4 linked regions of the Macaca fascicularis genome follow. The protein of the gene in region 3 purifies or fractionates together with the protein of the main gene of each other region. This does not show direct contact. Links are inferred from orthologs where the notes say so. Each region holds a gene or a part of one and is shown on either strand. Other genes may lie near its edges. The genes, in order: DDX17, DDX5, DROSHA and SRPK1.

Region 1 (7,664 bases), on a different chromosome or scaffold from region 3:
AATCTTACTTTAGTGAGCTTAAAAGTTTTTTTAAAAACTCTTTTGGTTTGTGCCCTTAAACACAATAAAATGTGTAAAATAAAATTCTCTTACAGAATATGTAATGGATGTGTTGATGGATCAGCACTTTACAGAACCAACTCCAATTCAGTGCCAGGGATTTCCGTTGGCTCTTAGTGGCCGGGATATGGTGGGCATTGCTCAGACTGGCTCTGGGAAGACATTGGCGGTATGTATGAGCAAGAGAAGATCCTTGATATTGTGGTAACTTATTTTGCTATTCTGATTATCATGCGTTCTCAGTTCTTCATAGAAATGCTGTTCAGATAGTGTAGGTACTATTTTAGGTATTAAATATATGAAAGCATTTTATGTTCAAATTTGCATCGCCTGCTGTATGTGGCAATGGTGAGTTCTGTTTTTCACTTTCCTATTTATGCATTAATTCAGTAATTACTAAGATAGTATTAAGTATCTTAGTAAGATTGTACTTCTAAGTATAAGGTTGTCATTCTTTCCCTCCTCCACAGTATCTCCTGCCTGCGATTGTTCATATTAACCACCAGCCATACTTGGAAAGGGGAGATGGCCCAATCGTAAGTGTGTTTCAGTTTCTTTGTAATTCTAAGAAAAACTACAATTTAGCAACTATTTAGGCATGGTGGTTTACATTATCCATTTGTACTCTTCACCACACCCTCCATATATGGAAATGGTTTCATTCTCATCTTACTTGCAGTTAAATGACTTACCCAAGATCACTCAGCAGTTGAATAGCTGAGCTTACATTTGAACCAAAGTCTTACTCCTAAAGAAACTATGCATGCTATATGGGCACTTACTGTGCAGTAAAGTCAAGTGTTTTCTGGGTGTTTTTTTGTTTGTTTGTTTGTTTGTTTGGAGTTTCGCTCTTGTTGCCCAGTTGGAGTGCAATGGCGTGATCTTGGCTCACCGCAACCTCCACCTCCTGGGTTCAAGCGATTCTCCTGCCTCAGCCTCCTGAGTAGCTGGGATTACTGGCATGTGCCACCATGCCCAGCTAATTTTGTATTTTTACTAGAGATGGGTTTCTCCATGTTGGTCAGGCTGGTCTCAAACTCCTGACCTCAGGTGATCAGCCTGCCTCAGCCTCCCAAATTGCTGGAATTATGGGCATGAGCCACTGCATCCAGCTTTTTTTTGTTTTGTTTTGTTTTTTGTTTTTTTTTTTTGGGGCGACATAATCTCACTCTGTAGCCCAGGCTGGAGTACAGTGGCAAGATCTCAGCTCACTGCAACCTCTGCCTCCCAGGTTTGAGCCATTCTCCTGCCTCAGCCTCCTGAGTAGCTGGGATTACAGTGTACACCACCACGCCCGGCTAATGTTTGTATTTTTAGTAGAGATAGGGTTTCGCCATGTTGGCCAGGCTGGTCTGGAACTGTTGACTTCAGGTGATCTACCTGCCTCGGCCTCCCCAGGGTGCTGGGAGCCACCACGCCTGGCATTGAATGTGTACTTTTTTTTTTCTTTCTTTTGAGACGGAGTTTTGCTCTTGGTTGCCCACGCTGGAGTACATTGTTGGCACAATCTCAGCTCATTGCAACCTCTGCCTCCCAGGTTCAAGCGATTATCCTGTCTCAGCTTCCCAAGTAGCTGGGATTACAGGCATGTGCCACCACACGCGGCTAATTTTTGTTTTTTTAGTAGAGACGGGGTTTCACCATGTTGGCCAGACTGGTCTCGAACTCCTGACTTCAGGTGATCCTGCCTCGGCCTCCCAAAATAATGGGATTACAGGTGTGAGCCACCACGCCCGGCCTACTTTTTAACTTTAAGAATTAAGCTTGCATTTGTCGTATGTATTTATGAACATGTACAGTATGTCTCAAGATATTCACAAAAAGAAAGAATGCAGTACTTTATATAATACATAGTATATGTCTGATAGCATTATTAATTAATATCTAATGGATCAGTATACAAAGCAAGTTTCATAATTTGGTATATGATACCTTGATTTTTGTATTATTTGGCCAGATTGTACACAGTTTTGTCAGATTACATGTAAATTTTCATTGTTTTTGCCTTATCTGCCTGGTGAAGTGCTTAAACTAGAGGTCAGGAATGTGTCCTTCTGCCAGTTTTGTGACTTCTAGTTTAAGTCAGGTTGACCATCCAAAATTTCAAATTTTAGGCCAGGCACAGTGGCTCACACCTGTAATCCCAGCACTTTGGGAGGCCAAAGTGGGCAGATCACGTGAGGTCAGGAATTCGAGACTAGCCTGGCCAACATGGGGAAACCCCATCTCTACAAAAATACAATAATTAGCTGGGCGTGGTGGCGCATGCCTTCAGTCCCAGCTACTCAGGAGACTGAGGCGCAGGAGAATCATTTGAACCCAGGAGGCAGAGGTTACAATGAGTTGACATTGCACCACTGCCCTCCAGCCTGGGCGATAGAGTGAGACAAAACAAAACAAATCCAAATTTTGAGGACCAATATGATTCTCAAAGTAATGCTGGAACATTTTGGTTTTTCGGGTTTAGGGTGCTCAACCTGTAAATGAGAATTGTATACTTAAAATCAGGTAATACAATCTGTATACGTACTTAAAAGTACATATAAACTATAATGATTTGATAATGTGTCATAGTAAAAGTGACGAGGATACCAGTATCATTCCAAATGCTAAATATGAAGTTCTAATAATTTCTTCTACATTCCATTGTACTAATATTCCCTCCTTCTGATCTTCACCCCATCACTTTTAATGTACTAGATTAGACAACAAAGATTTTTGGTTTTTTTGTTTGTTTTTAAACCTTGGGTGGGGTCTCAAATGTCTTTTTGTTGATTTCAGTGTCTAGTTCTGGCTCCTACCAGAGAGCTTGCCCAGCAAGTACAGCAGGTGGCCGATGACTATGGCAAATGTTCTAGATTGAAGAGTACTTGTATTTATGGAGGTGCTCCTAAAGGTCCCCAGATTCGAGACTTGGAAAGAGGTAATAAAATAATATCGTGTAAAAGAATTGTTAGTTTATCTTTACCAATTCCTGTGGATGAAATTGGAGAAAAAAGTGGGTTCTTGTGAAAAACTGAGAATTTCAGCAGCTTAGAAATTCTCACATGTGACCAAAATAACTATTTTGAGAGAGAAAGTTCAACATGACTGGAAACTTTGTGAGGATTTGGTGATTGTACATAAATCCCGACATCATGCTTTTGCAGGTACTTTGTTAAAATTTAGCTTCTCTGCAGCATTGAGTACAGCCACCAGGGCTGGTGCTGCTGCGTTTTTGTAGAGTCGGGGTCTTGCTATGTTGACCAGGCTGGTTGTGAACTCCCGGCCTCAAGCTATCTTCGCGCCTCCACTTCCCGAAGTGCTGGAATACAGGTGTGAGCACTGCACCTAGCTGATTTGCTGGATCATTGGTTTTGTTTTACAGGTGTTGAGATCTGCATAGCCACTCCTGGACGTCTGATAGATTTCCTGGAGTCAGGAAAGACAAATCTTCGCCGATGTACTTACCTTGTGTTGGATGAAGCTGACAGAATGCTTGATATGGGATTTGAACCCCAGATCCGTAAAATTGTTGACCAAATCAGGGTGCGTAAAACTAATAATAAGCAGTCTTTATGCCATTTGTCCAAGCTCCTTAGCCTGAAAGAAAGCCTTTCCTTTTTTGATAGCCTGATAGGCAGACGTTGATGTGGAGCGCAACCTGGCCAAAAGAAGTAAGACAGCTTGCAGAGGATTTCCTTCGTGATTACACCCAGATCAACGTAGGCAATCTGGAGTTGAGTGCCAACCACAACATCCTCCAGATAGTGGATGTCTGCATGGAAAGTGAAAAAGACCACAAGTATGAAAGAGATTTTACTCTCTGATTTGATAATACCAATAAACCTTTTCTATTAATAACCCTCCAAAATCAGTATTACAGAAACCAGTATATTTTGAGGCCTGAAAGCATTAAAAGCATTGCTAACTTTCTGATAATCCATCTTTATGTCATTTGTCAGAGCATTATGGTTAAATGCAAGGATTCTGAATTCTTGAGTTTGAATCTCAGCTCTGCTGATTACCAGCTGTATAATTTTGCACAATTTTATGTCTTGGTGCCGCAGTTTCTTCATCTGGGACATGGGAATAATACCACTCACTTGAGACTTGCTGTGAGGATGGTATGAGTGGTATGAATTAGTATTTCTTGAGCACATAGCAGAACCTGACTCAGGACTCCATATTAATGTTGGTTTAAAATTTTAAAAACGTAATGTGCAAAGAAAGTACTATAGCTTTGGGAGTTGATATTGTAGACATAATCTTCCACATAATAGATACTTTCTGTGTGATGACTGCATTGTTGGTCTTGTTTTCAGATTGATCCAACTAATGGAAGAAATAATGGCTGAAAAGGAAAACAAAACAATAATATTTGTGGAGACAAAGAGACGCTGTGATGATCTGACTCGAAGGATGCGCAGAGATGGGTGAGTATAGCACCAAGGCAGTTAACCTCTGGTTTTATAGTTAACTGGAAATTTCTAAATTGGTATTCCAAATGCTGTGTAATATTTCAATAATGCCTATCCATGCAGTTTGCTCTTTAAATGAGCACAGTCATCTATTCATGAAGCCTGACAAACCTTAAAAAAATTGCATTATAGCATTTGGCTTTAAAGTTTGATTTTCCCCATTTTAAAATATTTTTTAAATATCGGTTATTTTTCTTCTGATAGTTGGCCAGCTATGTGTATCCATGGAGACAAGAGTCAACCAGAAAGAGATTGGGTACTTAATGGTAAGTTTAAGCATTTTTTGTTGATTTTTTTTTTTTTCCCACCATAAGTGAATGTCCATGCTCTATTTCAGGGATAGGCAAACTTTCTGTAAAGGGCCAGATAGTAAGTATGCTTGGCTTTGTAAACCAAATGGTGGTCTCTGTTATAGCCACTCAGCGCTGCTGTTTTAGGACAAAAGCTGTAGGCCATAGATAATATGTAAAGAAATGGCCTAGACTGGGCACTGTTGGCGGCTCATGCCTATAATCCCAACACTTTGGGAGGCCGAGGTGCATGGATCACCTGAGCCCAGGAGTTCAAGACCAGTCTGGGCAACATAGTGAAGTACTGTCTCTTTAAAAAAAAAAAAAAAAAAAAAGGCAAAACAAAACTTAGCCAAGCTTGGTGGTGCACGCCTGTAACCCCAGCTACTCCGGAGATTGAGGTGGGAGGATTGCTTGAGTCTAGGAGACAGAGGTTGGAGTGAGCCAAAATCGTGCCACTGCACTCCAGCCTGGGTAACAGAGTGGGACCATGTCTCAGAGATAACATGGCTGTGTTCCAACAATATTTATTTGCAAAAGTGGGTGTTGTGCCAGATGTGGCCCAAAGGCCTGTTTGTCTTGCCCCTGCTGTATAGTTAATTGAATTACTGAGGGCACTTTTAGTATGTGCTCATGGTCCATGATGCTGGCTCTTTCAACTTTGTCACAACTTTCACCACCCTCCCTTTATTAATAAAGTCTTCAATTTTTTCCTTCTGATTGTAAAAATATAACTATCATTTGGGGAGAATTAAACTGTTAGTGAAATATTTTTTTTAAAATGCTTCTCAATTATTGAGTCATATTTTAGCATATTTCCTTTCAGTCCTTTTTTTCAGGACTACTCTTAAGGGAAGCCATTGAGAAATGGAAGAGGCCATATCTTATTTAAGAAATAATATGCAGCTGGGCGCGGTGGTTCACGCCTGTAATCCCAGCAGTTTGGGAGGCTGAGGTGGGCGAATCACCTGAGGTTGAGAGTTTGAGACCAGCCTGACCAACAGGGAGAAACCCCATCTCTACTAAAATACAAAATTACCCTGGTGTGGTGGCACATGGCTGTAATCCCAGCTGCTTGGGAGGCTGAGGCAGGAGAATCGCTTGAACCCGGGAGGCGGAGGTTGCTGTGAGCCGAGATTGCGCCACTGCACTCCAGCCTCGGCAATAAGAGCGAAACTCCATCTCAAAAAAAAAAAGAGAGAAAAAGAAATAATATGCATACCTCTTGGGGGGAAATTCAGTTCTTTTCATTTCGTATCTTTTAAACTTGTTTCCTACCAAACCCCAGCTTTTGATTGTGTCTCATTTGGGAAATAACTTCAAGGGGAAAAAATTCTAGCTCATATTAATTATGTAACAAATTGCCACACTATCTTAACAGTATTTCGTTATTAGTAGAGGTGACTATTGTACTGCTGAAGATGAGTGTGATAAAGGTTTTCAAAAGAATAACTGTCTGTCATTATAAGAGCCTGGGATTTTCTGACACCATTATTTGAAATTTTAACATGATGATGTAAACAGATCAGATAGCTAGGAATGCTTATTTGATGATGATTATTGTTTGTTTTTACAGAGTTCCGTTCTGGAAAGGCACCCATCCTTATTGCTACAGATGTAGCCTCCCGTGGGCTAGGTTTGTATAGATAGGCGTCTCTGTCAATGGTATATGTATCTTTTGGTTTAAAGATTTGTCATTTCAAATTCAAACTTCAAGTTTAGAAAGTTGTATATACATGTGGTTAGATAAATATTTGAAAGAAAAGAATACAAAGCGTGATTCTCCCCGTTCCCCGCCCCCCACAATTTTTTTTAAAACCTTGGTTTCCCCCACCCCCCTTTTATTTTCAGATTCTCTTCCTGCTCCTAACAAACAGGCTTTGGTCTGCAGCAAGGCCTAGGCATGACTATACAAACAGGGAGAGGAGGCAGTCAGTTGAATGGCTCAACTTCTCTCTGGTGGTGTTTTCTGGCTGGATAGAATAAGCCTGACGAAACCTAGCTATTGTAAGCTAGTTTCTTCAGTTATTCTTTTCCCTATCCCTGTCTAAGTTAGATATATACAGAGGTCCAGTTTTATGAATGCTTACTAGATGGAATGTTATAAGTCTAATGCAGTATCAGAATAGCAATCAAATTTGTATTGCCCAGTTTAATTTACTGACGTCAAATTATCATGGGCACTTGGCTATCCCCTCCTCCTACCCATACACTTATCTATAGGTGTGTTATCCAACCGATAGTTTTCTGGAGTTTTTGACCCATTACCATTTAAGATATACAGAGAATTTTATGGTAGTTTAGCCCACTATTCTGAGCTAAACAGGTCTAACTCAGAACTTTTATATTAAAAAAAGATTATCTGTATTACAAGGAAATCCTTAAATCATTGACAAGTATTTAATTTGCCCAGTAAGGTGAGAAGTACCGTATTATTCCCTTATACTATTTAATATAAAGAGAACAGGTATTCAGACTGGAATACAAACGTAATGAAGCCTTTTTATGCATTGCACTCATCATTCCCTCCTTCAGAGGTGGTGACCTGCAGCCATGATGGAAAGTTCTCTCTGCCCCTCTGCCCTCTGAGGTCATGTCTGGATCTGTGCCATTAGAACTTGGGCCTGTTGGGAGAGGAGGCGGAGGCCTGAAAGCAGTTTACATAAAGCTTTCAGTAATGGTTGGTTTTTAAACAGGCTTGCTATGTGCTGGTAGCTTCTTTGTGCATCTTGCCTAGACAATTAAAAATATTTGCTCTACGTCCCCTTGCATTTCTAAACCAAATTAATTGGCTACCATTAGAATAACTTAGACTCTTCATCCCACCCCCACTCATCCAAGTGAGGGGAGAGGG
Region 2 (8,189 bases), on a different chromosome or scaffold from region 3:
AGTTTGGAAATATTTCTTCGACATTTCAGCAAACTCACTGAAACTCAAAGACCCACAGATCACAGTGAACAGTTTGAAACAAGGCTGTACCATGGCAGTCATGCAAAGCATGGGACAGAAGAAATACCACGGCAGTGAACTGTGAGGATAACTTCCATTTTTTCCCTCGGAGAGAACAGTTTACGGGGCAGAGGTGATATGTTCTGCCTTTTGAAGATTACTGGCACACGTTCAGCTTTTTCACCTCTCTAATCGACTGGAAGCAGCCAGCCGATCACTAGTCCTCCATCCCCCTCGAGTCCTCCGATTGTCATGCCTAGGCCTTGCCACAAAGACAGCACCTTTATGTGAAAAAAACTTAGAAAAAATGCAGAGGTTAAAGAAAGCAATAAACTTTCTTTAAAAAAGTTAAATGGAGATCTTCTGGGAAACCAAGCCATGAATGCGAGTTTGTACTAACCTAGCCCTCTGGAGGCCACATCTGTAGCAATCAGAATAGGAGCTTTTCCATGTTTGAATTCTACAAAGGAAGGCATATACATGATCAATTATCTGAGCAGAATTCTAGCTAAGTAAGGGGGGAAAAAAACTTCATTTGAAATATTTACCATTTAGAACCCAGTCACGCTCTTGTTGACTCTTGTCACCATGGATACCCATGGCAGGCCACCTAAAAGACAAGTTGTATCATAAAACTCACATTGAAAACCTCAGACTCCAGTGCTTAACCACGTCTTGTCACAGATCTCTTTAATTTCACCAGAAATTAAAAAGAATTAAATTCACTTATATTATCAGATATCCACTGCTCCTGATCCAAGTTTGCCCTTTCCTAAGCTCAGTTACAAAAAAATCTGCTTCAATGGAGGAGCCCACACATACCCATCTCTCCTCATTTTTCTGGTAAGCTCATCACATCTTCTTTTGGTTTCCACAAAAACAATGGTTTTATTCTCCTTCTCACTCATGATCTCTTCCATTAAACGAATAAGTCTAATAATGGGAGAGAGAAAGGAAAAATCCTGAGTTTTAAAAGACCATTGGTAGGGCCCCACATTTATGGTCAGCAAAACATTAAGTTCAATTTACATGGCTGGAAGTCAAAGAGGAAACACCTGCTAACCCACTTATGTAGTAGTTCGACCCTTGGTCCTTAAGTCAACCAGGGGACACATGAATTCCTTCTATAGGAAAACTATAAACGGTGATAATCATTATTTGAAGAATTCAAGATATTTTCAGAAGGATTAATAGGCTAACTAAACGAAATCACACCAACTGAAATAACAATGATCCCTCAATTTTAGCAAGGTTAGGAAGCGAATATAACAGAGTTAATAAAACTTACTTTTCATCCTTTTCTACGTCATGACACACATCCACAATCTGAAGAATGTTGTGGTTTGCACTCAGTTCAAGTGCACCAATGTTTATATGGATATAGTCTTTCAAGAAATCTTCAGCAAGCTGTCTTACTTCTTTTGGCCAAGTCGCACTCCACATTAGAGTTTGCCTATCAGGCTAATGGATTTTGGGGGGAAAAATTAGTGTCAGACTAAAAGTGAAAATAGAATTGAATTTGATCACATATTTCAAAGGACACTTACTCTTATTTGATCCACAATCTTCCTTATTTGGGGTTCAAAACCCATATCAAGCATTCTGTCTGCTTCATCAAGGACAAGATAGGTTGTTCTTCTCAGATTGGTTTTCCCACACTCTAAAAAGTCAATCAGTCTTCCAGGAGTTGCAATACAGATTTCCACACCTTTAATTAAACACGTAAGTGTAACTATAATACCTAAAATATTTAGCACCAATAACAAATAAAACTCTCTTCATTACAGACCTCTCTCCAAATCACGTATTTGTGGTCCCTTGGGAGCACCACCATAGATACAAGTAGACTTCAAGCGACATGCTCTACAATATTCAGCAGCTACTTGCTGCACCTGTTGGGCCAGTTCCCGAGTTGGTGCCAGCACCAAACACTAAGGAAAGAGAAACAGCTTTCAGCACAAACCTGGATACTAGTTTTAAACTATTAACTTATTAGTTATGATGGCAGATCCTTTCTTCATGTGTTGTCCAATACCCAAAGCAACTCCAGCTGAATAGGGTGAGCTAACCTCTGTATAAAACCACCACAAATAATTACATCTTTTGCTATGTAGTCTAAAAATCTATATATTACACTTCTAATAAAAAGTTAAAAATATATACTTACAATGGGCCCATCGCCTCTCTCTAGGAATGGCTGATGATTGATGTGGACAATGGCAGGAAGCAAATACTATTTGGGGTGAAGACGGGGACAAACAGAAATCACATTAAAATACTCTTGTTTTTAAATTAGCATTCCGTTTTCTTGCACATATTACATCAAGAGTTCTCTCAAACTTACAGACAATGTTTTCCCAGATCCAGTCTGTGCCACTCCAACCATATCCAATCCACTTAGAGCAACTGGCCATCCCTGAGCTTGAATAGCAGTGGGTTCAGTGAAATTCTGTCTTGCAATAACATCCATGACATTTGCTATAATTAGTGACAGATATTTAACAAAAATTAGTGATGCCAAGGAAAGGAGGAGGTAGGTGAAAACAAAAACACAGGGGTAGGGTAGAACTGAAAAGTAGCACTCACCAGGGAAATTAGCTTCATAAAAATTTAGAACTGGCTTCGGGCAGTTGTGACCTCTAACTGTAATTTCCTTGCTTCTTCTGTATGTTTCCACCTCTTGCTGCAAAACAAATTATAACAGTCTTAAAGCTCATGACAACCACCCCTAACTAAATACGTAATTGGCAAGTCCGTAACTTCATAATTTAGTAATTAGTTTAAAGTAGCTTCATTTTAATCTGGAACCGCGTATGAAAACCCTATATGACAAAAAAACCGTTTATTCTGCTATACTCAATCTAAAAAAAAAAATTCCCAAAGCCACCTATTTGCAAAAGTGAGTCACACCTTTCCCAATTATGAAGTCAGAAAACGTAACTCTACCAAAATTGAGTTATTTGCAAAACACCTGTCAGAATTTCATTTACTAGACTCCATTGAGTTACAGCCTGATGAAGCCACATGAATTTACTCACTGCTGTCCGCCTAGCCAAATCAGGGTGCTCTTGATAGAAATTCTTCTCAAACTTGGGCAGCTCATCAAGATTCCACTTCTTTTTAACTAGTTTCTCCCCAGGGTTTCCAAACTTCTTTCCAGATAAGGGCCCCGCCCTACTTCCTCCAAATCGAGGTGCACCAAACCTGGAATGAAGAAAAAAAGTTATTTACATTTTCAAATGGCTACACCTAGGTTTCTGGACAGATTTGTTTACCATCCCTTGGCACAAGCTAAAGATCACTGAAAGCCGACTTCGAGAGGTAAACCTAGCACTGTCCTTAGTGATAATCTCTCTCTCAACAGCCACAGTTAACGTTTCCCGTAGTCCCAAGTACACACAACTTAGGCCACGTAAACAGCCTGGGATTTACTATATCGAAAACTTGTCACCCAGATGCCAGAATTTAGTATTACACACCACTTCTTGTGGTTACTATTATCTTTCTCACCAGTCTAGCAATTCATTATCAGTGATAACAAGCCTACATGAACCGAAGAGCATCACAACGATGTTACTCATATGGCCGTTTTCAAGCCAAAGAGCTTTGATGTCAACAATCTAGACAGCACAGACAACGAAAACGAAACAACGGTTTAGAAACACTTCTGCTAGCAAACCGAGCTGGGGGGACGCCGCGGTAGAGCTCCGGATCAACGAATTAAAATTATATAACGCAGGAAAAAAGAAAAGGAGGAGCCGGCGACTACCGGGGGAGGAGTCCCGGCCCGGGCGGAGCCGGCCGGGCGGCGTTCCCGCTGGGGCGGCGCTTCCCCCTTTGTCTCGCATTTCTCTCTGCGCCACATTTTCTCGACGCTGCCATTTTGAGCTCCTCCGCCGGGCGGAGTAACAAAGGCGCCGCCGCCATGTCCAAGGCCGGCATTTTATACCCGCGACTCAGCCACATGGCTGATGCCGGCCGCCCTCCTACCCCCACAGCACCAGTGGCTTTGGAGGTGGTCCCTTCGCTCCCACAGAATGCCCGACCACCCCAAAAACACCTCCCGAAAGGCCGCACCTAACAGCTGTTCCTTCGTCTGCCTCGAAGCGTCGCGCTTTCATCCGAACAATGCGCTCCCTCTGAATTCCCTCAACAGCTACCAAATGGCAGCCGCCCCGACGGCTCCCCGACCCCCACACAAAAAGCGAGGATGAAGACACTATCCCGTCAAATCTCTCCCACTCACTGTTACGTGAATATCAAAATGGCGCAAGCCTTCGGGAAAGGAGGCCCCAAGATAGCCCGGAAAGGCCGAGTCCAAGCCGCAAAGCCCCGGCCCGCCGCCACCCTGACCCGCCCTCCCATCCCCCACCCGCCAGCCCTGACAACTCGGCTCCCACACTCACCCTCGATCCCGGCCGCGGTCTCGGTCACTCGAATAACCCGACATAGCGTCAATGGTTGCGGTTGGCGGGGAACGAAGTAGATAGAAAAGGGTGCGACGAGTCGCTGGAAATGGCTTCGGCGACGGCGAAGCCTTGCGGGGGCGGCAGCGGAGGAGTGACGGCGATGACACCAGCCAAAGCTGCACACCTAGAGACCGGTGGAAATGAATGAGGTGCCGGCCGCTTTCCGGCAGCCGCTTTTATAGTCTGGACCTCCTCCTACGCCGCAAGGCACGCTGGGAGCCGCTCTATGACCTAATCGCCCCGCCCCTCGCGCAGAGGCCGCAACGCCCGCCGGCGTTCCGCGATCGCCGCGCTTTCACCCCACCCCGTGCCGCTCTCTCAGGTCAGGGCCCACCCACCATTGAAATGCCTCATTCTCCACTCTCTTGACCTCACCTTCTTCTCGTCTTTCCACACCTCAAGAAAGCCACCCTGCCCTTTCCCAAGCCCAGCCAGACGATAAAACAGCCAGCCCAAGCCCGCCCACCCTCCCCACTCGGAGGTGTTTACGTCTCCAAAGAGCCCTCACGCCTGTAACCAAATGAGAGGGAAGGCGGGGGCCTGGCGTTGTCACGTGACGTTACCCCCCCACCGCCCACCGTGACAGGGGGCCGCACTACTTCCCCGTTGACGTCGGCGGAGGGATACATAACGAAATAGCTCACCGGAAGTGCGCTGCCAGCACCCGGGACCCGCCCCCAGCTGCCGGCTAACTTGGACCGTCCGACCCACGGGTCTGACAATCCTGTGACGGGTTTTGGCCGGCGGAGAATGGTCTCTAAACTTCCCAAACCGCTTCCGTGGCACGTGCTGTGAAAGGAAGTGCTCCTCTGATGACCAATCAGCGGCGAGAAGTTCTTTTAACGTCCCTCCCTCTTTCACGCCTCCTTCCCCGCGCTTTAGTTCGTGCGCCCGCCCCCCAGCGTCTGCTCTGCGTTCGGTCCTTGCAGGACACCGTCGCCGGTCTGGCAGCGTCGGAGTCCGGCGGCGACCTGCTTCCGAGACATGGCCCGCTCGGAGGCTGGTGAGTGTTTCCCTGGGGTCGCGGTGTGTGTTTACTGAAACTGTCCACCTTCAGGGAGGCCTCGGGCTAGCCCGGACTGGGTCTGGGGTGTCGGCGGGGCTCGTTACTGTCAGACGCTGCGTCGCGGTGGCGGGTTCTCTGGATAGGGTCTCTCAGCTTCACCCCCTCTTCGCTTTGAGGCCGTGGAACAGCAGTATGAGGTGGGAGAGAGGCACTGGGGCGAGGCCGGTAGGACGCTCGGGTCCTGGCTGCAAAAAGAGCAGTCAGAAGGGTCGTCCTCGGACTTGTCTTTCTGTGGGGCGTCTAGCCGCTGTCCATGTGCCCTCCTCCCTTGCACTATGGGCCCTGAGGTCGTACCTCCTTTTGTAGTGGTCTTTAAAGGAACGGCACTCTTAAGGTTTATTCATGCCCCTGCCACAGAAGAATAGTGGTGCTTTTTTCTCTTCAGTGCCCTCTAGAGTCATGGGCTTTGTCTAGCACCGCTTTTGAAGAGCGAATTAATTTGGTTGTCTAGGACGCTTTCATCCTTTTCACTAGGACTGCGTACAAACCAGTTGTCATGGTTTGGCCAGTTGTGAGAAATGGGCTTGGAGAGGGGGGATTATGTGCCTGGAAGATACACTCTCATTCGTTTCCAGAACGTCATGTGTCCAGAACATAGTGGAGATGTTTGTTTCTAATATCGATTGCCAGTGCTTTCCTACCAATCGTCAGGCATTTCAAGGAACAAGTATTTTAAGCTAAGTTGCTTTTGGTAGAGAAACTGTTAAACTTCGCAAATCCCAGCAATATCTAGGGGAGAGGAGAATGTGGTATGCAGGAAACGTCAACAGTATTGATAATTCTGAGCTTCATGTACTTCCAATATTTTGTTTCATGTAGATCAATATAATAAAAAAGAAAAACTAAGAAATGCATTAGTGTTGATGTTGTCATTATGCCAGTTCTTAACAGCCTAAGTTTAATCACCACTTATTTGGGCACCAGAGAAATCCTGACTTGCACAAGATAATTGGGTAAACACATGACCAATACTGTTGGGAGTTTGAAGCAACATATTTTATTAATGACTGTCTAGTAACTTCAGATTATTATTAAACTGTTGCTTATGACATAATATTCCTGTTTACTTGTAAACATGTTTTAACTAAAAACACCCACGTAAGGCTTATATAAGTAACTTAAGATTTTAGGCTGCAACAGTAACAGTTGAATTTGCAGTATAGTTTTGACTGTATAGAAATTACAGCACTCTGGAAATCATCCCAAGAAATTAAATACATCTTTTTAAAAATCATGCCTAACGGGTCTTTGAAATTCTATAACAATCAAATTCCCTATCTTCTACAAAGTTCAGTGTCTTTTTTTTTTTCTGGGTGGGGAGGTTGTTGGATTTTTTGAATGGGTGTGTGATTTTTTTCTGGTGGTATTTAAGACTGATCTTTCCCCCTTTTTCCCAACAGAGTGGGTAACCATTGCCAATAGCCTTCTTTTTAAGTGTCATATACATCTGAGAATACATGAACTTCAAGACTGTGATGCTAATGTTTTTATTGCCCTTTATCAGTCTATTTTGGGAGAAAAGGTACCAGGTAAGACTACTAAAAGCAGGAGTAATTTTGCCTATATCTTAGGTCAGAAGTTTTTGGTCCTTTAGTTAGATGCTTTGGTATTTATAACATTTCATTTTCTCTTTGCCTATATATTTTTTAATATTGCATATTAAATTATATATTAATATACAATATTTAAATATCGTATATTAAATGGTATTTAATATTGCGTATTGTCTAATTATATTATATTCCTTAAGGAATACCCTGTGGAATCCACTCAATAATGGCCTTGAGCAGATCAGTTTGAGGGCTCCTGATAATCACTGGTTAATCCAATCATGGCTAATGCCTTGTGAAAGTTGCATCCTTTCTGAAAATGTACCTTCAAAGGTTGTAAAATTGAGTGGAACTTGGGAATTTATTGGATCCTGTCACTTAACCAGTGTTAGGGGTAAGAATTGATATTTGTACTTGATGAACCTAATTTACCAAGACAGTTAATAAGCGTATATATCCTTTCATCTTGCTCCCCATCTCACTATGTTCAAGAACAGGGTGGTACCAACTCAGCTTAAGTGATTCTCCCCTGTCTGCCTCCCAAAGTGATAGGATTACAGGCATGAGCCACCATGCCCAGCCTGTACTGACATTTTAAATCTTTATACCAATAATTCCAGTTGGCTACTCAAAAGGACATATAAGGGCCGGGCGTGGTGGCTCACGCCTGTAATCCCAGCACTTTGGGAGGCTGATCATTTGAGGCAGGTGGATCACCTGAGGCTAGGAGTTCAAGACCAGCCTGGCCAACATGGCAAAACCCCGTCTCTGCTAAAAATACAAAGATTAGCCAGGCATAGTGGTGCACGCCTATAATCCCAGCTACTTGGGAGGCTGAGGCAAGAGAATTGCTTGAGCCGGGGAGGCAGAGGTTGTAGTGAGCCAAGATCACGCCACTGCATTCCAGCCTGGACAACAGAGCGAGACCCTGTCTCAATAAATAAATAAACAAACATACATATATATAAAATAATCTTCCAATGCCTGCTGTGTTGTTTTTTTTTTTCCTCTCGTAGAAAGCAGCCCATAGTTATGGGTTAAAGT
Region 3 (7,734 bases):
AAAGCATGTCGGCTTTGACATTATTTTTATGCAATTCAAGAGTAGTAAAAGTGCTTATTTTTAAAAAATTCAACTATTTCCCTGGCTTTTTTGCTTTTGCTGGCAACATTCTCAAGGCCATCAGCGTTCTTTTCCTTCCAGTCCTGCTGTCTGCTGCTCATGTAACTTAAATACAATGCTCAGAAAGAGCGCACCAAATAGGGTGGTAGATGTACCAAAACCAACATAGCTCAGAAGTGAGCTCTCTTGGCCAGGCGCGGTGGTTCATGCCTGTAATCCTAGTAGCGTGGGAGGCTGAGGAGGGTGGATCGCTTGAGGCCAGGAGTTCGATGCTGGGGTGATCAGACCCAACACCAGGTCGTGGGGGCAACGAAGTTCGGCGGAGTCAAAGGGTTAAGAAAAAGACAGTTTAAGAGAGAAAGGTGGGACACCAGGGGGGCCATCGCTATTGTGGAGGCTGTGAAGGCCCTGAGCTCTGGAAGCCCATGGTATTTATTGGTAATCCAACAAAGAAACAGGTGGTGAGAATGTGGCGGTCAAAAGGACACGTTGCATTAAGCACATGATTTACAGCTGTGATGGTTTATCATTTATATAGAACTTGTTCTGCTACTTGAGATAATGGGAATAGGAACCTAGGAGGGCTAGAAGCAAGGAGCCAGCAAGTCTAGACACATTCCAGAGGACATTATGCAAGCCCTGCCTCAGTTTTCCTCCCAACACTCAGCTTTTTCCCAAAGGTTCGAGACCAGCCTGGCCAACATGGTGAAACCCCATCTTCACTAAAAATACAAAAATTAGCCAGGCGTGGTGGTGCACACCTGTAACCAGCTACTTGGGAGGCTGAGGCAGGAGAATTGCTTGAACCCGGGAGGTGAAGGTTGCAGTGAGCCAAGATCACGCCACTGCACACCAGCCTATGTGACAAAGCAAGACTCCATCTCAAAAAAAAAAGAAGAAAAAATGAGCTCTCTCTCCTCCTTCCCTAGTGATCTCCTGGCATCACTGGTGGGGAGGAAGGGCATCAGGACAAGCCTTTTTTTTTTTTTTTTTAAAGGCACCACCTTACATTTTTATAATTAGCAAATGAAGACATCTTAGAGGTATCTCTCTCTCCAATATGTGTGTGTGTGTGTGTGTGTGTATACACACCCTCAAAAAGGTATGTGGCAGCACTATGACAATAAATTGCTTACAACCTATACATTTTTTATGAGATTGGTTAATACAGTATATCTACAATTGGCATATAATTATGATGTGCATTACTATGTAGCCGTCAACAACTATGTTATGTAAATGTGAAATCGACGCACAAAGATATTCATATTATTTTAAGAAGTTAGAAAGGCTATGGAAACCATATGTATGGTATCCTGTTAACACACGAGTGCATGTGTGTATTTAAGTACAAAGACAGTCCAACAGGACATAATTCTCTGGGTGATGGAATCATAAGTGATTTATCTTTCTGCTTATGCTTTCTATTTTTTCCGTAATAGTTTCTAAGCAACATTTGTTTCTTTCTCCTGCTAATAAAAGTAATATATTTTTCAACTTTTTTGAGACTGAGTCTTGCTCTATCACCCAGGCTGGAATGCAGTGGCGCAATTTTGGCTCACTGCAACCTCCACCTCCCGGGTTCAAGCAATTCTTCTGCCTCAGCCTCCAGAGTAGCTAGGATTACAGGCACCCACCACCATGCCTGGCTAATTTTTGTACTTTTAGTAGAGATGGGGTTTCACCATGTTGACCAGGCTGTTCTCGAACTCCTGACCTAAAGTGATCTGCCCACCTCGACCTCCCAAAGGGCGGGGATTACAGGCGTGAGCCACCGTGCCCAGTCCATTTGTCAAAATTTTGACAATACATATGTAACATTTAATATTTATATAAGAAATACTTCCAGATACCTGAAGGGTTCACTTCGTCTCCTCTTTCCCATCTTAAATGATACCTTTTTAGGGAGAACTCCTCAAACACCTCATTGAAAACTGCAAACACAAGTCCCTGCTTTATTTCTTGCCATTGGGCTCTTGGTCTGTTGTGGGTGTTCCTGCACTAGCACCCAAGCTCCTCAAGGACCTCTTCACTGCTATAGCCCCAGAGACTAGAGCAGTGTCTGATACATAGGAAGCATTCACTATATATTTGCTGAAATGATGAATGAAACAGATTTGTTTTACAAAGAAGTTTTGCCTTTATTAATAAGAAACCAGTGATATTTAGTTTTAAATAACTTTTTAAAAAATATCATGTCTTTTAATGTCATGTTAGCCTTTTACTGCAGGGCCCACTTAGAGAGGCTGATAAAAGCTCTAAACCCTCCTCCTTCCTGCTCCCCATGCCCTCTCAAATCTCAAACACACACAGAAAATGGAATTTGGTATTGGGAGGTTTTGACTTCCCTGAAGTCTGTTCATTACCTTCTTAAAGGTTCCACTAACCTCAGGGTGAGAGCACTTGGTTTAAAGTGTGGCCTGGCTTAGAATCATGATTTCTCTCCTATTCTAATGATTCAGAGAATCTATGTGACTTGAATATCAGTCTTTCCTCTTCTCCCATTAGCCAATTAATTGTTAAACGGATTCCTTCTACAAAACACTCACTGCTTAGAGACAGGTAAGTTCAATATTTGCAGCTGAGAACTTGATACAACAGCCACCAGATGAAAGCTGAACAATCTACTTAAAAATCCAGAGATTTGAAAAAGTATAGATGTTAATAGAGCATAGTCAAAATGTCTAGTAAAGTCAATTTTTTACTTGTCAATTGAAAGTCTAGGGTCACAATCTGGGACAGAGATGGAAAAAACAGGATCTATTCCACATAGAATATGCTTCTTGAATTTTATTATTTAAAGAGCAAAACAAAAGGAAGTAATGCACATTCACCAAAGTCGAGTTTTCCATTAAATAGAAGAAAAATCTAATCCTTTGTAATAAAGACCATCCAGCTAAAAACAGATCATTAAAACAACAGCAATTTGACTTGTATTTTATTTCAATGAGCACACTTCATTCATTGTCTGTAGGAAAACTAGGCTAGGTCTCAATAGACAACAGTCACAGTACTGAGCAAGTAAATACTCCACACTTGCATGCCCTCCTTTATTTCTTGACGTCTTCAGTCTCATCTGGCTCTCTCTCTTGATGCTCTCTTTCCCACCTCATTTCTTTTAACTCTTGTCTGTACTTCCGTTCGATGAACCGCTTCTGATGGGCCATCTGGGGAAAATTATCTGACACAAGGAAATATATTTTATATTTAATAAAGGATAGCCACTAGTGCAAAGAGTGATGCAACTAAACATATACACATACAAATATACATGCATATGAAATGTGTATAATTATATTTCGTAAGGCACAAGATAGAAAGTTGTTTTCTTCCCTTATTCTTTCATCACTCAAAAACACATCAGAAGCCTGGATGAGCACCCCGATTGTAAATTTCAATATCTGATGTGAACTTGAGTATAACAGGCATCGAACATACAGAAATGTCAAAACACAGACATGTGGCTTGGGAATGTTACTAAGCAGGTGCTTTAGCATCACTCTCCTAGCAACAGGTGACTTTCAGGGAGAGATGAAAGGATACAGTAAAATGGAGTCACAGTTTTTGAAAAGCTCAAACTAAAAACTTCAAACAAATGACATTATGACACCATTATTTACCAAGAATTAAAGTCTCAGAAAAGAGCAAAGAAAGATCAGGTGGACAAAAAGAGGCCACATTCTAAGTCATTATGTCTGATAATTAATTTTTAAGCTTACAATGACAGGCCCAAAACTGTATCTGCAAAAGTAACTCAAGTAGAAAACTTATTGAGTCAAAGCGGACATATAACTTCATGTTTCAAACACATGAAGAATCCAAGATGTAGGAGAGCATGGCATGCTTGGGGGCAAGTTCATTTATTTCCTTTAAGGATGATGCATAATGAAGTTGATCTACATATAAGACAGCAGGCCCCTCATCAGTGATCTTGCTCTCCATGGTTTCATTTACCTGTGGTCGACCATGGGCTGAAAACAGGTAAGTAACGTAAAATAAGATATTCTGAGAGACAGCAGACACAGCATACAATCAAGAGTACATTCACACAACCTTTATTACAGTATGTTGTTACTGTTCAATTTTATTTATTGTTAATCTCTTTCTGTATCTAATTTATAAATTACATTTCATCTTTCAATTAAATTTTGCACATGTAGGAAAAAATACAGCGTACATAATGTTCAGTTTTAGGCATCCACTGGGGTCAAGTATCCCCCAAGGATAAGGAGAGATGACTGTATAATATATCCTAAATTCTTTTATCCCTATTATATTACACTATCCCTAAATTGTATAGTGTACCATCCTCACAGTAGGTTGAAGAAAGGACAGGGTAGTAGGAAAAGCATCTGAAAGACAGGTGGGGAATCAGCAAAGACCTGATATGTCTGAGAGTCAGAGATTGATTGAATTAATTAACTAATGTATTTATTTAGAGATGGAAACTCACTCTGACGCCCTGACTGGAGTGCAGTGGTGCAATCTCGGCTCACTGCAGCCTCCGCCTCCCAGGTTCAAGTGATTCTCTGCCTCAGCCTCCCAAGTAGCTGGGATTACAGGCATGCACCACCACACCCAGCTAATTTTTGTATTTTTAGTAGAGACGGGGTTTCACCATGTTGGCCAGGCTGGTCTCAAACTCCTGGCCTCAAGTGATCCTCCTGCCTCAGCCTCCCAAAGTGCTGGGATTACAGGCATGAGCCACCACACCCGGCCCAGAGATTGATTTTTTTAAAAAAGAGGAACATGACATCTGTATTTTGGAAATAAAACAGTAATAAAATCCTATTCCTGAACTGATAAAATTTATTCCTTATGTAGGTTTCAAATATAACTACTTTTTAAAAAATAAATCCCACTGAGTTAACTGTAAAGCAAGTCTCTACAAAATGAACTCTATTTCCTCAGTAGTACAGAAGTATGTAATAATCCCCAGTAAATTCTACTGTAAAATCAAATTTGCATTTGAAAAACACAACTCAGATTTAACTATTGATAAAACTTTTTAAATATATCCTTATGGCCTTTATGAAGCTATACTACATATATATGCAGTGTAAATGTGTGTGTGTGTGTACATACACATGCACACACACATATACCTAGACACTTGAACATTTAAAATCATTTTCCTATCTACTCTTTCGGAAAGTACAGTATAGGTATGTATTTAATAAGGGTATGCTTTCTTATTCTAGTATAAGCATTTTCTCATATCATTAGTTTTTAAAACCACTAATGGATACAACATTTGGATATAGCAAGGGTTGGTAAACTCCTACCCACAGGCCAAATACAGCTATCCATCTGTTTTTATAAAGTTTTATTGGTAGACACACCCATTAAATAGACACACTCATTAGTTTGCATACTGTCCAGGCCAGTGGGCTACAATGGCAGAGTTGAAGAATTGCGACAGAGACTGTATGGTCTGGGAAGTCTAAAATACTTACTATCCAGTCCTTTACAGAAAATGTTTCCTAACCCGGGGATATACCAAAATTTATGAAATATTTTCCTACTCTTAAACACGCAGTTTGATTTTTTTTCCTGCTATTATAAATCAAGTTGTCATGATTCTCATGGTACAAACTTTTTTGGAGAGGAGGGGAAGAGACAGGGTTCTCACTCAGTTGCCCAGGCTGGAGTGCAATGGCATGATCATAGTTCACTGCAGCCACAAACTCCTGGGCTCAAGTGATCCTCTGGCCTCAGCCTTCCAAGTAGCTGGCACTACAAGTGCATGCCACCAAGCCTGGCTAATGTTTTTGGGGTTATTTTATTTTTTTAAATTTTTTGTAAGGACAGGGACTCACTATATTCCAGGCTGGTCTCTAACTCTTGGCCTCAAGTGATTCTTTCCTTGGCCTACCAAGGGTATGAACTTCTTTAAGGACCTGCTACATACTGCCCAATTGCTTTCCAGTAGTTTAAACAACTCACTCCTATCAGTATGGATATGCAGGCCTGTCTCAGAACAGGTGATCTCTCCAGTACTGTTTTATAGTCGAAAACAAACAAAAAATGGAATCACACTTTTATTTCACTCTGACTGCAAATTTATATGTACAATGGATGAAGTTCCTAATAGCCAACTTAAAACTCTCTGTGAAGAATCCATGGATGCTGGACCCTGCAGTACCAGCTTCTGTTCCCACTAACCTCCCTGCCCCCGAACAGGAACCTTTATCTGCTGATTTCCACTTGGCTCTTAGCCTGCTTGCCTTTCCTGGAATCTCTCCCATGCCTGAAGATTCTGGGCCTCTTCACTTTTAGCTTCCCGCACTGTACTGTCTGCTACCTCATTTAGCGGGGTACTTGAAGCATAATAGAATTGCACTGTCATGTTGTGCCCACAGGTTCTGCTGTGCAGCACAACAGACCTCAGAAGAAAAATCCCTTGCACTTAAGCCTTCAGTTTACAAAAGACTATGCAATTTCCTACAAGGTCAATCATGTAATTGAAGTTTCTTCAACCCACGCATCCCACTCCCGGGAACCTATTCCACACAACTAAAAAGCACCAATATATAACATTTGTTGGTAATGATGATTAAAAAAAAAGTGTCCACCAATAATAAAAAGGCTGAATAAAATATAGCACACCTCTAGCAGGAAATATTATGCAGCCAATAAGAATGAATTGGAGCTGTTTTCTATAATCTGCAGGGCTGCTCATGATACATTATTGAGCAAAAAAAGAAAGGTATAGAGAAGTATGTAATAACAGCCCATTTAATAAAACAATGGCCAAAAACAAAAAAGAAAAAACCTTCACATGTATTCTTTTCAGTTACAGGATTTTAGAGAATACAGAAATGTATGAAAGAAAACACAGACCAGGCGCGGTGGCGCACGCCTATAATCCCAGCACCTTGGGAGGCAGAGGTGGGTGGATCATCTGAGGTTAGGAGTTTGAGACCAGCCTGGCCAATATGGTGAAACCCCGTCTCTACAAAAAAAACAAAAAAATTAGCTGGCCGTGGTGGGAGACACCTGTAATCCCAGCTACTGGAGAGGCTGAGGCAGGAGAATCACCTGAACCCGGGAGGCAGAGGTTGCAGTGAGCCGAGATTGTGCCACTGCACTCCAGCCTGGGCAACAAGAGCAAAAGTCCATCTCAAAAAAAAAAAAAGCACAAGAAAACACAGCAGGTTATTCACACAGGTCACCCACGCTGAGATTAGGACTCTAAGCAAAAAAGGAAAATGCAAATCAAAAAGCATTCAGGAATACTTTCATTTTTAAATATAAGTCCATTTTAGAATGTCTCACATTCTACTATATTCTCTGTGTGAAGAATAATTATGAAGAAAACAAAATCACATTTTATCAGTACTTACCATTTTTCTCCCTCCTCATTTTCTTTCCATAAAACACTCATTACATGATGAACATAATTATAGAAAAAGAAATAGGCTCACATTTTTCAAGGGCATCCATTGCTGCTCCCATTTCCGCTTGCTGAATACTATTACATAAAATAAAAGTAAGATACACTTTAATTTTGAGATCCTTTTTTTTTTTTTTTTTTTCCCAAAAATGCAACGTATGGCTACAAATTTTTCAGGTTGATTTTCACGTTTGGTGCATAAAATTTCCTCTGATTACTTCCACTGTCACACACTGAATTGCACAGATACAAATATACACAAGAGCATGCAGAAATGT
Region 4 (8,389 bases), on a different chromosome or scaffold from region 3:
TCAGGAGGCAGAGATTGCAGTGAGCCGAGATTGTGCCACTGAACTCCAGCCTGGGTGATAAGAGCGAGACTCTGTCTCAAAAAAAAAAAAAAAAAAAAAGTATATACATATGTTTAATAAAAATTAAATTATGGTTGGCTGGGCACGGTGGTATACACCTGTAATCCCAGCTACTCGGGAAACTGAGGCAGGAGAATCGCTTGAACCCAGGAGGCAGAGGTTGTAGTGAGCTGAGATCACACCACTGCACTCCAGCCTGGGTGACAAGAGCGAAGACTGCCTCAAATAAATAAATAAATAAATTTAATTATGGCGTATCAGCTTAACGGAATGCTAGATGAGGTTCTCTTTCTCTCCTGATATGGAACTATTTCTAAGACTCAGTGAAAAAGGTAGACCTCAAAAAAAATAGTAAGGCTGCACTATAAGGAATACAGAACCAATTTCTAAGGTGCACTGCTAAGTGTAAAAAGCATCAAATACCATTTCATTTTTTAAAATTGTTTCAAATTTACTGGCTCTACTTCCTACTGAATAAAAATGTTAGATATTTAAGTATTTTCTGTTGCAAATGTTTTTTTTTTTTTAATTTGTGGCCAAATTCAAGTAAATTTTCAATATATCTCCCAACTGACTCCACAAATCAGTGTTAGAGCTGAATTAATTTTACTACCAAATGTATACCAAATCCATAATTATTTAACTGCAAATAAAGTGAAAATTACCGTCCAAACTAACTTCCTAATAAAGTAATAAAATCAGTAAGTATGAAATCCATTTTGGAATTACATTCCATAGAAATAACTTCAAAAGCAGACATATAGGTCAGCCACGGTGGCTCACATCTCTAGTATCAGCACTATGAGAGGCCAAGGTGGGTCACTCGAGGTCGAGTTTGAGATCAGCCTGGCCAACATGGTGAAACCCTGTCTCTACCCCCAAAAATACAAAAATTAGCTGGGCCCACGTGGTGGCAGGTGCCTGTAATCTCAGTTACTTGGGAGGCAGAGGCAGGATAATCGCTTGAGCCCGGGAGGCAGAGGTTGCAGTGAGCTGAGAATACGCCACTGCACTCCAGCCTGGGTGACAAGAGACCCTGTCTCAAAAAACAAAACAAAACAAAAACAGACATAGACTGTTAAATTATAAAAGCTTATGACAAACAAATAAAGGCTCACAGCTACTGGTATAAACACTGAGAACAAATGCTCAGAGGGAGATAGATGATTGTGCTGTTTCATAGACACAGGACAGTAGGTCATGAAAGGGCACCCAAACCCCCAAGCATACGGAGGTCTCTCATTCAGAAGCCTCTTTCAACTCAGCTTCTACCTTACCTGTTGTAAGACACACCAAAAGGTCTGTCACTTAGAAACACATGATTGGTAACCAGGGCTTTCGGTATGTCAGACCTGGGTTCAAATCCTAGCTTTGCAATTTTCTAGGAGAGTAATCTGACAAACCTCAATTCTCTTATCTGTAAAGTAAAACGGAGATCATCACCAACTAGTTAATGTTAGTAAATAAAAGCATAGTGTCCGAAAAAGTAAAACTAAGAAGGAATTGTCTAAATAAGAAAATTAAAAATCCCAAAAGTCAAATACTCCAGCACAGTAAAAAGAACCCAAAGGAAATCCACTCTAACAAACACTGAGCTGGAAAGGGACCCTGAATTCCAAGTTTTGGTTCTTCTGTCACCAGCTTCAAGACCCTGGGTTTAAGATCTACAGTACCAGGGGACTGAAAATCCCTTCTGCCTGTGACACAACACGACTATTTAGTCAGACTATTTAGACTACTAAGGATGCTATTTACTGTAAATAAGCCTAAGTATTACTTCCAAAAGTATTACTTCCAAAACTTTCTGAAATTTTCATTTAAATGCTTAGTTTTTATACCTTTAGGTCCTGATCAGTTTTCATTATGACTAAACTGCCAGTCAGTTTTATACATAAGACTGTTTCCTTCTGTAATCCCAGCACTTTGGGAGGCCGAGACAGGCGGATCACGAGGTCAGGAGATCAAGACCATCCTGGCTAACCTGGTGAAACCCCATCTCTACTAAAAAATACAAAAAAAAAAACTAGCCGGGCGAGGTGGCGGGCGCCTGTAGTCCCAGCTACTTGGGAGGCTGAGGCAGGAGAATGGTGTAAACCCAGGAGGCGGAGCTTGCAGTGAGCTGAGATCCGGCCACTGCACTCCAGCCTGGGCGACAGAGCAAGACTCCGTCTCAAAAAAAAAAGACTGTTTCCTTAACCAACTTGTCTTAAGGTCAGATTGCTAAACAGTAGCAAAATCAGAATTCAAAACCACATCTATCTCCAAAGACCAAACTCTATGGCATGCTTCTTCCTCAAATCTTCCTGACTCACCTTCTGCAACTAGCAGCTTGCCTTTGCAAAGTAAATGGAAGTCATCAGGCGTGCAATCAGAAGTCATGGAACAGAGTCAAGTTATCTGAGTTAGTTGAGGCTTGAACTTCTGACACAGTACTCTAACCAACTTAATTAGACATTTCAGCTACTTAAAAGGAGGCTGGGATACCAAAGAAAGAAAGAAAGAAAAACAAAAAGGAAGAAAGAAAAAGGAAAAAAAAGGGCAGGGTGCAGTGGCTCACGCCTATAATCCCAGCACATTGGGAGGCTAAGGCAGGCAGATTACCTGAGCTCAGGAGTTTGAGACCAGCCTGGGCAACATGGCAAAACCCTATCTCTACAAAAAATACAAAAATTAACCAGGCGTAGTGGCATACACCTATAGTCCCAGCTACTTGGGGGGCTGAGGCAAGAGAATTGCTTGAATCTAGGAGGTGGAGGTTGCAGTGAGCCGAGATCGCACCACTAAACTGCAGCCTGGGCAACAGAGCGAGAACTTGCCTCAAAAAGAAAAAGAATAAAAAGGTAAATTTAAAACAAAAAAACGCAAAAACGCATTAATTGGAAACAAAACCAAAAATAAAACACCTCTGAAATTACAAGTAAATGGGGCAGTTCATTCACGCATATTTTCAGGAGTCAAAGTTGTTCAAGATAAAATATTCAGTAAAATGACTGCTACGTTATCTATAATCCACACTTGCAAACAATTAACAACACAAATAACTCTAAGTTATCCATAGTAGTGAATGGGGTAACAGATATACATATATTTGGCTTTAGAAATAAAGCATATAGTCTAAATAGATAATCGGAAGTAATAGATATCTGGTGCTTAAAGTATATGATCACCTATATACATTTGCCCCTCAAATTATAGCTTGATTTGGGCTAATCTCAAATTAATTTCCAAGTGGTAAGAGAGATCCGGACAAATGGTCTGAGAGACCAGGATTTCTAAAAAATACAGTAATATAATAAAAACCGCAACTTCCTCGTATCAATAGAAAAGAACGTTTTAACACATTCTTATCAATTCCACAAAGAATAACTCAACTAGGCACAGAAAACTAACATTTCAATTCCTACTGCACACTAGAACCAAGTTAGCACCTTGCTGTTTCTATTAAACAATCTAGGATTAAAAAATGGTTTTGAATAATCCCATATACGGATAATCCAAAGGCAAACAGACACACACAAACTCACCATTTACAAACCTTCGTCACCAAGCACTTACAAAATATATTTCATAAGACGGAATAGAAAATAGAGCAAGAGGTGAGGTCACCTACCACTTTAGTTCTATTGAAAGACAGAAGTCATTAGGTGCTCTCCCCAAACAGTAGGTAGCCTCCAAAAACAACACACACCCCTACGCCCCCCTTAATCTGGTATTGTCATTCAGTGGGGTGACCTAGGAAAGCCTTTGAAATGTGTTGTATCAACTCAGAGGGAATTAGACCGCATACAACGCCAAAAAAATCAAATAAATTTAAAAGTATAAAGATAATACATCTTAAAATTAAGAACTAGGCATAGAATCTCTCTCTGAGAGATGATTTCCAAGAGCTGATTTCCAAGACCCTTTGCAGTTAAACGTTAGTACATGATGAAAGTTCTTTAGGCTTAGCCTCACTTGCTGAATGAAGCCTGCTACCTGAGTTTCTATTAGGCTGTGACCAACTTTTGAACTTGCCACGATAGCACTAAACTACTGTTATGCATCCCACTGATAAAACTGGACATGTGGCGCTTAATACACCAAACCAGAACCATCGATGTGTGTTAAAGAACTCTCCCGTTACTATAGTGATGCCGACTCCGGAAGATTATCTGCATTTGATTGAGGTTTAGACAGAAGAGAAGCAGTTAACAGACACTGACTGTATACACAGCGGTCTGCCGGCACAGTGCAAAAAAGCCGATGTGCCTTGCAGGTTCAGGAAGTTGACTAACCCAAAGAAAAGCCCCATGCCCTCCTCTATGAAAGGGAGTGTGTGGTTGGTAGAACCCAAAGTAAACACGGAAAAACTCATTCAAGAATTTCCTTAAGGCCTACCGTGCAGACGTTGGAGGCAAGTTAAGACGTTGGGGAGCAGGTAAGAGAGAGAGACCAGAGTTCAGAAACAGAACGATAATGATCTACCAGCTCCGGTGGGGGGGGGTCCAAGCTAGGGGAGTTTGTGCCTCCTCTGTGGAGTTGGGGAGGAAAGGTACCGGGCGGGCTCTGGTCCTCCTCCGACAGCCCTTTCCAGCAGGCCTGGGGCTGCTAAGACCCAGGCCTGGCGTTCAGCAACAGCAGCTCTCTTCCACATGGTTGCTGGAGAGCGACCCTCCGAGCTGCCCCGAGGCCATGTGGCTGCGGCCACAGGGTGCCCAAACCCTGTGCACATTCAAGACGCGAAACCAGAGCAGAGAAGGTGCCGGAGGAAAATCCAAAGAATGGGATGTTGGGGTACAAGACTCACTTCCTTTGGGCTTTGTCCTTCTTGGCCTTGGTCCTTTTCTTTCGGGCCTGGAGCGCAAGCACTGCAGGAGAGAGGGATGGATGAAGGGCAAATGTGGAGGAAAGGAGGTGACCAAGGTGAGGGTGGAGACCCAGCAGGGGCGCCAGGCCCGGCTGCGGGGCCTGTCTCAGGGGCGGCTGCGGTACGAGCGCGGAGGCTTCGGCAAGGCGGCCGGCCGGGGGGCTGGCGGCCCACGGGGCACAGAGCAGCGCCCGGGCGGGATGCGCCGGAGGGGTCTCAGGCCGGGTCAGGGGGCGGGCGGGCGGAGGTCTGCCTCGCCCGCCAAGGTCCGGGCCCTGGAGTGGCCCCAAGGCGCAAGCTGGCCTGGCAGGGAACAAGGGGCGGCGACGGCCGGCGCCGGAGGACGCCCGGGCTGAGGGGCGCGGACCCGCAGCCCAGAGGCGGGGGGTGTGGGGCGGCGCCACCTCAGTGGAGGGGCGCCGCAAGCCCGGGGACCGAACCGCGGCAGTTAGGCGAAGCTCCGGGCGCTGACCCGGGCCTCGCCCCGGCGGCCGTTGCCCCTCGTGGCGGAGGCCGCTCCACCGCTCACCTTTCCGCTCCATGGTGAGACCGGTAACCGCCAAGCGCCTGCGCACTCGAGTGGCGGTGACTCCAGCTCCCGCCGCGGCCCAAAACCGAGCCCGCGCACACTCCACCCCCAGTCCCGCCCCGCCCCCGCCCCACCGTGCCGCGCGCATGCGCGTCGGGAGCGGAGCCTACCACCTGCTCCCGAGGAGGGGGCGGCAAGGAGAGGGAGGGGGCGCTGAGAGGAGGAACGTCGGGGGTGAACGTTGAAGGAGTGTTAGAGATCCAAGCTTGGAAACCTGGCAAGGTTAGTTTTGTTCTATTTGCTTAGAAAAGGCGCAGAGAGCGGCAGGGCTCCCTGCATGCTGCTGAGTCAGAGCTTCAGAGGCTTGGGATCTGCCTCAGTTTCCTGGCCTGTAAAATGGATTAATCAGGCATGTCCCAGTTTCTCCTTCCCTGAGCTATTGTGAGCCCAGTTGAGATACTATTTAAAGAAAATGGAAAAAAATTACATGTGAGAAAGAAAAGGGAGTGGGAGCAACACAGAAAGACTGGAAGGAAAGAACCTGTGACCCTATTATCACTTGAAAAGTAAAAACTTCAAAAGTGAATTTTCTCTTGAAATTTCAAGTTTAAATGAAAGCTGTAAAGGAAAGAAAGGGAAATGAGAATAAAAACGTTTAATGTTTTCTTATTCTACCACCTTCAATACATGATAAAGTTGTCTTGTTTATGAGATTTTTTTTTTTTTTTTTTTTTTTTTTTTTTTTTTTACTTTTCTAAGTGCATTATCTCATTTTATGTTTATGGCAACTTAAAGGCAAAATAGTTATTACTTCCATTACACAAAGACACTAAACTTAAGAGGACCTGCCTATATGTTCAGAATCTTGGTGTACGACCCAGTTATTTAATCATCAAGCCCTTATTGTATAGCAGGCTCAGCAAAGTTTTTCTTTGGGCCAGATAGTAAATATTTAGGCTTTGTGGACCATAAGATCTCTTTCTCAGCTACTCAACTCTGCCACTGGAGCTCAAAAGCAGTCATAGAAAATATGGACTTTGTTCCTATAAAGATTTATTTATGGACACTGAAATTTTAATTTCATATAATTTTCGCATGTCATAAAATGTTCTTCTATTGATTTAAACATGGCCTTTGTTAGGTTTTGAAGGGAAGGTGAGGGTTAAAGAGGAGTAGTCTTGCTCTGCTACTCAGGTGGAGTACAGTGGCATGATCTCGGCTCACTGCAGCCTGGATATCCAGGGCTCAAGTGATCCTCCCACCTCAGCCTCCCAAGGTGCTGGAATTACAGGTGTGAGCCACTGAGCCAGGCCCTTTTGATCTTTTTTCAACCGTTTTAACTATTCTTATTTCAGATCTTAATTTACCAGCCCCTATTGTAAAGTACCACAGCTGGTCAGAGTGGAAGCTCTGAAGACCTTTGCTCTAAACAAGTAATTGAGAAGGGAAGATGAGAGGGCAATAGTACAGCACAAGTCAAGCATGGGGGCTTTGGCAGGACTTATTGAGCAAAGTAAGTAATTAAGCCCATCCACAGAGGAGGCCGTTTTTGAGCTGGGTCTTAGGAAATACATAAGATTTCTGTAGGCGGAGAAGGAGATGTCAGGCATTCCTGAATGAGAAAATACATTGAGCAAAAAGGCACAGACATGGACACCTGTAGGTGGGGGCTAGGATTGGGGCTGGTAACAACTGAAGGGATGAAATGGAAGGTGAGGCTGGAAAGGCAGGTTAGCCAAATTTGAAATTTAGATAATTGATATATGTTGCATGGAACCTGAATGATAGCATGTCTGGGTATATTGCAAAAGAAGACAGTACCTGTTGGCCAAGGAAGGATGCAGCCCAGTCTATTCCCTGCTGTAAAGTTGAAAACAAAGGAAGGTTAGGACAGACAGGGAAGCCCTAGACTCTGAGGATTGTGTGAGTTCAGGATAACCACATGTGGTTTAGAAAAGACAGGGAGAGAGCAGATGGCTAGGAAAAATCCCAGAATTGGGAAAGTACTGCCCACCCCAAAGTAAACTGTTTGAGTGTAGAGACCCTGCTTAGATTTTCCTTGATGTATACTCAGTGCCTACACAGTGTCAGGCACTTAGTAGGTGCTCAAATATTTGTCTAATAAAAGAATAAATGGGCCGGGTACCATGGCTCATGCCTGTAATCCCAGCACTTTGGGAGGCTGAGGCGGGCAGATCAAAGGTCAAGAGATTGAGACCATCCTGGCCAACATGGTGAAACCCCATCTCTACTAAAAATACAAAATTAGCTGGCCGTGGTGGCACATGCCTGTAATCCCAGCTACTTGGGAGGCTGAGGCAGGAGAACCGCTTGAACCTGGGAGGCGGAGATTGCAGTGAACAGAGATTGCACCATTGCACTCCAGCCTGGGCAACAAGAGCGAAACTCCGTCTCAAAAGAAAAAAAAAAAGAATAAATGATCTGCAGTTTATGAGAAATGTCAGGATGAAAGAGAAAACACTGAGAGGGACAATATTAGAGCTGTATTAAATCTGAATTGGTTATTGCAGACCCATCAAAAAGGAAATATGTTCAGCTTAGCATGAGACAGTCGTACCTATTCTGACTCTGAGTGACTGTTGCTTCTCTAAGAGCTTACTAACCATCTGTTTGATAACTCATTTTCAGACTTTTTCCAGAGTCAATGTGAAGTTCACTGGACTGAGTTCCCAGAATTGACCATTTCTCTTTTTTGTCCATCTGTTTTTCTCTATTCCTCCATCATGTTTTGGCTCTCCACTTTGTCTAAGATCTCTATAATTGTTCATATAAGTAAGTTTGTTCATTTCCCCTATTCTACAACCATCCCCTTTTTGTGCATTTTGCTTTAAATCTAACTTTAAAATCAGTTTTTTCTCCCAAGTTTGCAGAACTTGGCCTATTCTGGACTTTTACCCTTCCAGAATTTATTTATTTATTTTTCTTTGACAGGG

What was found.
Region 1: the proteins of DROSHA (region 3) and DDX17 purify together in Homo sapiens (co-immunoprecipitation; 3 studies listed by IntAct, with this or other methods). This does not show direct contact. The link is inferred for Macaca fascicularis from reciprocal best matches to the Homo sapiens genes DROSHA and DDX17.
Region 2: the proteins of DROSHA (region 3) and DDX5 purify together in Homo sapiens (co-immunoprecipitation; 4 studies listed by BioGRID and IntAct, with this or other methods). This does not show direct contact. The link is inferred for Macaca fascicularis from reciprocal best matches to the Homo sapiens genes DROSHA and DDX5.
Region 4: the proteins of DROSHA (region 3) and SRPK1 purify together in Homo sapiens (affinity purification with mass spectrometry; 3 studies listed by BioGRID and IntAct, counting the BioPlex papers as one, with this or other methods). This does not show direct contact. The link is inferred for Macaca fascicularis from reciprocal best matches to the Homo sapiens genes DROSHA and SRPK1.

Annotation. Positions count from the first base shown.
Region 1 is NC_088384.1:13,153,761-13,161,424, forward strand, and holds part of DDX17 (probable ATP-dependent RNA helicase DDX17), read left to right. Parts: intron 1-95; coding exon 96-229; intron 230-530; coding exon 531-596; intron 597-2,841; coding exon 2,842-2,983; intron 2,984-3,427; coding exon 3,428-3,588; intron 3,589-3,671; coding exon 3,672-3,844; intron 3,845-4,364; coding exon 4,365-4,475; intron 4,476-4,724; coding exon 4,725-4,786; intron 4,787-6,386; coding exon 6,387-6,446; intron 6,447-7,664. UniProt on the Homo sapiens protein: As an RNA helicase, unwinds RNA and alters RNA structures through ATP binding and hydrolysis.
Region 2 is NC_088390.1:71,093,757-71,101,945, forward strand, and holds the start of DDX5 (probable ATP-dependent RNA helicase DDX5), read right to left. Parts: upstream 5,303-8,189; 5' UTR 5,174-5,302; exon of another isoform or gene 4,905-5,173; intron 4,654-4,904; 5' UTR 4,511-4,653; coding exon 4,467-4,510; intron 3,265-4,466; coding exon 3,099-3,264; intron 2,744-3,098; coding exon 2,647-2,743; intron 2,539-2,646; coding exon 2,405-2,538; intron 2,294-2,404; coding exon 2,228-2,293; intron 1,992-2,227; coding exon 1,850-1,991; intron 1,769-1,849; coding exon 1,608-1,768; intron 1,522-1,607; coding exon 1,349-1,521; intron 994-1,348; coding exon 883-993; intron 671-882; coding exon 609-670; intron 521-608; coding exon 461-520; intron 1-460. Other genes in the region: CEP95 (centrosomal protein of 95 kDa), read left to right, coding at 5,514-5,532, 6,996-7,124. UniProt on the Homo sapiens protein: Involved in the alternative regulation of pre-mRNA splicing; its RNA helicase activity is necessary for increasing tau exon 10 inclusion and occurs in a RBM4-dependent manner. Binds to the tau pre-mRNA in the stem-loop region downstream of exon 10.
Region 3 is NC_088380.1:31,976,143-31,983,876, forward strand, and holds the end of DROSHA (ribonuclease 3), read right to left. Parts: intron 7,535-7,734; coding exon 7,488-7,534; coding exon of another isoform or gene 7,447-7,487; exon of another isoform or gene 7,407-7,446; intron 3,242-7,406; coding exon 3,111-3,241; 3' UTR 2,836-3,110; downstream 1-2,835. UniProt on the Homo sapiens protein: Ribonuclease III double-stranded (ds) RNA-specific endoribonuclease that is involved in the initial step of microRNA (miRNA) biogenesis.
Region 4 is NC_088378.1:135,748,750-135,757,138, reverse strand, and holds the start of SRPK1 (SRSF protein kinase 1), read right to left. Parts: upstream 5,491-8,389; 5' UTR 5,449-5,490; coding exon 4,847-5,448; intron 4,478-4,846; exon of another isoform or gene 4,413-4,477; intron 1-4,412. UniProt on the Homo sapiens protein: Serine/arginine-rich protein-specific kinase which specifically phosphorylates its substrates at serine residues located in regions rich in arginine/serine dipeptides, known as RS domains and is involved in the phosphorylation of SR splicing factors and the regulation of splicing.